Linked DNA regions of Arabidopsis thaliana. The protein of the gene in region 2 purifies or fractionates together with the protein of the main gene of each other region. This does not show direct contact. Each region holds a gene or a part of one and is shown on either strand. Other genes may lie near its edges.

Region 1 (3,714 bases), on a different chromosome or scaffold from region 2:
GTATTTTACACTGAAACTCTATAACTAAGTAACCGAAGATCATAGAAGAATAAGTTTCCAAATTGAGAGCAAATTCAAAGAAAACAAAAGTTTCTCGCGTTTTCCCGGAAAATGGAGATTTAGAATTGCGACTCCATAACTAAGACTCATAACTAACCTCTGCTTCTCGGCGCGATGATTTGTGTGCAAACTAATCTGATTTTTGAATTTTTTCAACTCTGAAGCAATAAATTTGACTTTTAAAGGCGTTTGGGCCCATTACGGAAACAACAAGTAATTAACAAGAGAACAGAGAACCGCATAGAGAGAAAATGTTAAGATCAAGGAAGATTCACCAAAGGCCAACAAATATATATACCAAAAAGCCCAAGCTCCAATTGGGCCTGGTCCCCATGGATTTGATTGTTTCGAATAACAACAACACCTCAAGCATGATACTGCAAATTTGGTGCTATCATGAGGTTTTTACATGTTTTGAGACTATTATGCTATAATTCAAATGATATGTCGAAAAGTATATAACCTAAAATCGTAGTTAGTGCTAAGATCAAGGAGTAATTTGGTTATGATTCATTTAATGAATGTGATTGTTATTATAAATGATGGAGAAGGTACCAACTCTCAAGTCTGAAAATAAAAATCCAAATTGAATCCAGAGTTGAGAACGTATTTGGTTTTTCAAACTGAATTAAATCCAAAACACACTCAAACTCGAAAAGTCTCAACATAAATTTAACGACACAAAATAAACTCTCCTAAGGAAATTATAAAATGATGCAAAGGATTCGTCACCAAAGGAACTCCAATCTGCAGAAGAACTTTGCTTCATCTTCAAAGGTCTTGTACACTCAAACCTGAAAAAGTGCAACATAGTCCACACCTCAGAACACGCGTACAACAGATATGAGAATGAAGATACTTTTCAAAAACATAGTAACATACTAAAGCCAAAGCAAAGCTGGGTTTAGCAATCAAATGCCAAACTCAGAAAAATTTACAACGGAAATTGTGTGATGAAGAAGCTTACTTTAACGTACATAAATACTTAGCAAAATTCAAACAATGAAACTCAAGGCACAGCTATATTTAAAGTCCATATAACATAATGAATCCAATAATGTTGAATGTTGCAATACACACGCAATGTAATTAAGCAAAGACAGGTTGTTTCGAACCCATATGCCAAACTCAAATTTCATCAAGGTTTTAAAATGATCTAAAGTGTGAGAATTTATGCAGTGTAGTAGAGAACAATGTAAATTGAGCAGAGTTAAGAAGAATAAAAAACCTGGAGGAAGAGACTGCTTAAGCTTGTCGGCTTTCTCTTGGTCAAAGACGCAGAGCGTGTAGAGGTACCTCGAGCATCTGACCTTAAACTTGACAATATCCTTGCTTCTCTTGATCTTCACAGATCGTGCATCTTTCCTTCTAGCTGTCAGAAGGAAGTCCTTGATCTCGTGGATTTGCTTAGGCTGCAAACATTAATCAAATTAATCAATCAAAATTCAATACAAGATTCAATAATCCCAACCAATCAAAAGTTAATCACATGATAAGCAGACACGAGCTCAGCACATCAAACACATTAAGCAAACTCTGACCTAGGTTTTTGGTTAATTCACTAAAACCTACACGTTTCACTATATCCTAAACAAAGTAAGAAGCAATAATCAAAGCTGAAAATGATACAAAAATCTACATTTTTTGAGAAAACTCTTAAGATACAGGAACAGCTCTACTACACTATGAATGATTGCAAACGAGCTATGAAAACCAAATCATAAGCATCCATGACGGCGATATGAAACGAAATCGAAAGACCGAGAAATATTGTACCATTCTCGAATCTGTTGGTTGAAACTAGCCGCCGTCCACAGAGAGAGTCGAGCGAATTCGCCGTCGCGAGGATATAAAGAGATCTCTTAAAAACTTTGTATCAAGAAGCCCTAATTCGTAAACCTGAAATTCCATATTTACCCTCTGGACGATTTATCAAACAATGGGCTTTAAGGCCCAATCATATATCGCTTTAATGTCCCTTCACAGTTTTGCCCAATTTACAGTTTGTCTTAACACTTTGGTCCTCATATTTTCTTTTCATACCCTAATCATAACAAGATCAACCACAAAATCCTTCTTAGAAAAAAAAAAAATTTGATTTTTTTTGTCACAAGAAAAGAAGCGTTACAAATTTACACTTGTTGAAAGAAAAAACGATTCAACTACAAGAGAAAGTTCACAAAGTCCTAAAGACACAGAGATGTTTACAGGTGCGGTCTTAATGCTTCCAGGCCATGGAGTGACCATCCTCCATGTAAGGCTCAAGAAATCCAATGAACTGCCAATAAAAATAAACAGCAACAAAACAATTGATGATCAGACACGTCTGAAAGATACATACTTCAAGTCTCAAAATATACATACTTTGGTTCCATCTCGAGACCAACGTGCTCCATAGCCTTGAGCTACTCTTATCTCGAACACTTCACCATGTGGTGGAACGATATGTATGTTCATCCAACAACAATTGCCAATGAACCGATTGATTATGTCCATTGCACGCTCATTTTTATCTGAATCTGAGAAAAGGAAGAGGAAGACTCAATTATGGAAATGCATCAGTGTCCTGCAAAAATTTGTTACTTACCAGTTCCCTGAAGAACACCCCAAAATCCATCGCTACTTCGATCAACATGCTTGGCTAATGCTCTAGCTCCATGGCTCAATCTACAACCTTTTATCTCAACAATAGGAAAAAAGAAAGATTCTAAATTTGATCTCACACAACACAGCTTAACCATTCCCCAAAAGATTCACTACGATGTCTCTCGAACTATATCTTAGTTTTTGTGGTACCTTTGGCTTATATGGAAGCATGAATGAAGAGAGTAGCATCGATCTAGGAGGAGGCAGAGCATGAAAAATGGATCCAGTTGTGTGAGATAGACCGAGAAGGTTTTGCACGCCAGTGTAACTCAAGCCCTGCCATTTAAATGATGTTTTTGTAAGAAACATTGAATAATAAGAATCATAAATCACAAGGAGAAGGCTGAGAAAAACTTGAACTCACAGACAGTATGTGAGCCAAAGCAACACAAGGCTGAGCAACTGATTTACTAAGATGGATTGCCACAACACCATTGAAATTCTCTTGATCCGTATCATATAACTTCCTAAACATTTGCATACCTAAAAAAATTTGAAATCTTTGAAACAGAAGTTAATGGCTAAGGATCAGACAAAGAAAAAAGCTTACCTTCTTCCACTGTTTTAGTGCCAGGAAACACTTTCTCTGAACTCTCGGCTTTCAACAGCTCGTAAAAGGATGCATATTGGTGAAGTTCCTATATATCAACATTTAAGAGAATCAATCACAAGAAATCGTTTGCAGGAACACAAAAGCATGATGTCGGCAAATATATCTCACCAGAACTTCAAACATTAGACATTTATTTATCATAACCATTGAACCTCCTCTCCGAATTCTGAGGAAACCAAACAACATTTGTGAACACAAGAGACACAGAAGTAATCCAGCTCAATAACTTTTCACTTCTCCTACCTATCATACTCTTCTTCAAAACACCTTGCTTCAACTGTTTTGATGCCATCTAATATATCCATTTAAATTAAGCAACCCAAAAATCTGATCAAGAACTCTTACCACTTGATATTGACATTGCCAAGCTAAAAAGAGGAAGTTTTAACCTTTCA
Region 2 (3,760 bases):
TTCGTTACGCTTCTTGATTCCTTCTCTGAACAGATTGCTACCTGTGCAGTCTGGATTTTTAGTGGGTAGAGTCTGTCTGGATTGTATTCTGTGTTCCTTGCTTCTCAAGTACCCTGCACCTTGTGCCTGAACTGTTTGTGATTCGAAAATTACTCAGACCAATCAGATACATTCTAACAGACACTCTGTTAAAATTGGTCGAGTCAGTTTTATATCCTTTATGATGGATCCAAACAATAGTTGGTAGAGTCAGTTTATAAATCATCAATCTTTCCAACCAGTAGATTTCCAAGATTCTATCAAACTCAATGGATTCTCCCATACATAACAGTCACACTACATTGAAGGCATTGAACGGTGGGAATAAAACGAGTAATTTAAGACCAATACTTTAGATAGAGACGAAGAAAGCAATCAAAATGTAGTCAGAAGTCTGTTACAAACAGCAAACTTTAAAGAAGACACGATATAAATGAAAATACCTGAATGTGAAGATGTTAACGAGGCAGCTGAATCCCTTAGTCTCCTTACTTTCTCAGCAGCATCCAAAATGTCAGAATTATCTTCTGATTTTGGTTCAATAAGACTATCCTTCTTAAGGCTCAACAGGGCATTTTCAGACGCCTACGTAAAAACTCATCAAAATGTCATACCTCATAGTAAGAACAAGTCAAAATCAAAAGAAGCAAAGAACCTATCTGATCTGTACTTCCATGTGGGAACAGAAAAATGTAACAAATAACAAATTGCTATGTATCCAAAAAATTGAATAAATTGGTAAAGCAACAATTCCGATCATACAAGCATGAACTTGTTAACACAATTACAAAGTAAACTCACTTTCCAAGAAACATGTACAGAATCTCTAACCATTCCTCTTATGTGAATTTCTCCAACCATTCCCAAAAGCAACGAGATCATATACTACAGAAGGAAGAGTAATTTACCTTTCCTGCAATGGAAGGGAATCCATTTTCCATAGATTGGACTGCAAATTTGGTCCATTCTGAATGTGAAACCCCTAACCACAAACAGCTAGGAGACTTGAGCTGCCGCAAATTCAATGCCTCATACCTCATAGCCAAACAACTCTACTCAACATATAACAACCATATATACATACATTACAGAAAAGTTGAGTAAAGTGCACAAATCCATCTGCAAATCTTCACTCATAATCGAACAAGAAGCTGAAAGATAATTTCGAATTTATTCAAAATCGACAAGGACAGTATACGAACCTCCATATCACCGAGAAGAGCAAAAGCACGAGCGAAGAATTCAAGTACGGAGAGTTTTGCGACCATGGATTCTCCGGTGAGCTCACCGAATATAACAACCGATTCAGATCTCATGAAATCTCTCAATCGAGATCTAACTTCCAAAAACGATTTCACATTCATTGCAACCAGAGACAACTCGAGAATCCGAAGAGATTCTTCATCGAACCTGCACAATCAGTGAGAAGAAACCCTGTTCTAGCCACACACACAAGAGAAATTGAGAATCAGATGCTTCGGATGGATTGAAGAACCTTCTGTCTTGGACCCGATTGATAAAGAGATAAGTCTGATCAGCGATCATCGAATCTGAACATTTTTTCCAGAGAGAAATTTGAGCGGTGTTTCGAATTTTCAATGTGCCCTTTGATTTGAATTTTATGTTATGGCGCATCTTAATTGTTAATTTTGACGGCGCATTATAAGAACTCATTTAAGGACAACATAAGCAAGGGGCCGATAGCCTGACGAGTTGACATTCGGCCCATATGTAGATTTATAGGCCCATTAATATCAAATCGATGACGTTTACTTGCCATCTAATTACCTCCGCGACTGATAAGGATTCGCTTATTAGGTTTTTTTGAGTTTTCGTCTCCGTTTTCTGAAGGCAACTGCTAATTTCTTCCACCGGACGATTCGACAAAAATGGTGAAAGGACGCCAAGGAGAACGTGTCAGGTTGGTTATTCATCTTCTATGTTCTCTAATTCTGTATCTGCTAAAGCTTCACATTGCTCCTGAAATTAGCTGGCATCATTGGCGTTTTTACACTTTCTATGGATCTCGCTTTTAGCTTTTCTCAGCTGGATTTTGGATGTGTTTCAATCTCTGTGTACCAAATTATCTCAACTTTAGTCTTAATTAAGCTTTTGTCTCACTCAATTTTGTTTTTATGTGATGCAGACTCTATGTCAGGGGAACCATACTTGGCTACAAAAGGTGCGCATTGATACATGATTTGTTGTTGTTGTTTTCCACTTTAGTCGTTTTTGTTCTAGCTCCCATAAACAGTGAATCTTGGCTGATAATACTGGTTAATACACTTTTTTTATGACCTCAGTTTAGTTGCTTATAGGATTCAAAAGTTAGTTCCTGAGAAAGTAGACTCACTTGTCTTCGTCCGATCTTAGATTGTTGAATTTGGGAATAGGGTATACAAAATAAGGAGACTATCTTGATTTTGCTTGTTATAGTCACGAGCTCTACGTTTACCAATTGGCAATAAAGTTTTAGCGTATACACTTAAGCAAAACAATCTACCATTTAGTGTTGTTTCTGTTTTGGATCTTGTCAGAATGGTGTCCTTAAACACGTTTTGTGTGTAAATATGTACAGGTCGAAGTCAAACCAGTATCCCAACACGTCACTAGTCCAAGTCGAGGGAGTTAACACCACTGAGGAAGTGTCATGGTACAAAGGTAAAAGGATGGCTTACATCTACAAAGCCAAGACCAAGAAGAACGGTAGTCACTACCGATGCATTTGGGGCAAAGTCACAAGGCCTCACGGTAACAGTGGCGTTGTTCGAGCCAAATTCACATCAAACTTGCCTCCTAAATCAATGGTAATCCAAATCATTTCAGTTATATATGTTTGAAATTGTTGTTATCTCTTTCCTAGCTCTTCTAATACAGTTGGTTGATTGTTTTTTTGCAGGGATCTCGAGTTCGAGTGTTTATGTATCCGAGTAACATTTAAAGCAGTGTGTACTCGTCATCAAGTGGTTTATTATCTGCAAGCCTTTGTTTATGGACCTTGTTTATTATTTGACTCTTTATCCTGAACCTTTTTTGGAGTTAACAATTTTGGTTAAAATGAGCCTTTTTGATAAGTCGAGTTCACAAGTTTACCCAAATTTTGCAAAGCCTGAGCTTACTTTGTGTTGAACTATTGACGGTTACAGAATGAAAGTGAGACACGTGGCTTTCGAAGCTACACGTGTCTGTAATAAATTGGTACCATTGGGAATAGCAATTATCTAATTTCTCTCGGCTCTTTCATATTTATTGAATGTTCTTTGAAGAAGAAGAAGGCGACGACACAAAAACCTTGCATTTGCATCCATGGCGTCGATGCCGAGCAAACTTCTTCCAGTCCTAGTCTGCTACGTTTTTCTTTTCCCCTTTGCATCATCATCTGATTATTCTGGGGTATCTCTTCCATCTTCGTCGCCTAAAGTCTCGGTGGGCCTGTACTACGAGTCTCTCTGTCCCTACTGCTCTTCCTTCATTGTTAACCACCTCGCGAAGCTCTTCGAAGACGATCTCATATCAATCGTCGATCTCCATCTCTCTCCGTGGGGCAATACCAAGCTCCGTTCCGATAACGTCACTGCCGTTTGCCAGGTACTCCTTCGTTTTCTTCAATTTACGAATTCGATGTTTCCGATTCGATTGAATTAAGCTTCAATTTTGAGAAAATCACCCTTTCCTTAACTGAAATTTGATGTTGTTTGCATCTGAGATTGACAAATTGGTC

The links. The genes of interacting proteins can lie anywhere in the genome.
Region 1: the proteins of AT1G07070 (region 2) and AT2G43460 fractionate together in Arabidopsis thaliana (co-fractionation; one large-scale study listed by BioGRID). This does not show direct contact.

Annotation. Positions count from the first base shown.
Region 1 is NC_003071.7:18,045,454-18,049,167, forward strand, and holds AT2G43460 (Ribosomal L38e protein family), read right to left. Parts: upstream 1,949-3,714; 5' UTR 1,840-1,948; coding exon 1,837-1,839; intron 1,473-1,836; coding exon 1,289-1,472; intron 855-1,288; coding exon 832-854; 3' UTR 512-831; downstream 1-511. Other genes in the region: AT2G43465 (RNA-binding ASCH domain protein), read right to left, coding at 2,279-2,338, 2,425-2,579, 2,648-2,741, 2,857-2,982, 3,071-3,189, 3,257-3,344, 3,428-3,485, 3,563-3,611 and 1 more.
Region 2 is NC_003070.9:2,166,724-2,170,483, forward strand, and holds AT1G07070 (Ribosomal protein L35Ae family protein), read left to right. Parts: upstream 1-1,837; 5' UTR 1,838-1,928; coding exon 1,929-1,960; intron 1,961-2,185; coding exon 2,186-2,221; intron 2,222-2,617; coding exon 2,618-2,846; intron 2,847-2,938; coding exon 2,939-2,980; 3' UTR 2,981-3,234; downstream 3,235-3,760. Other genes in the region: DFO (uncharacterized protein), read right to left, coding at 1-131, 483-624, 948-1,091, 1,242-1,449, 1,535-1,674; AT1G07080 (Thioredoxin superfamily protein), read left to right, coding at 3,346-3,627.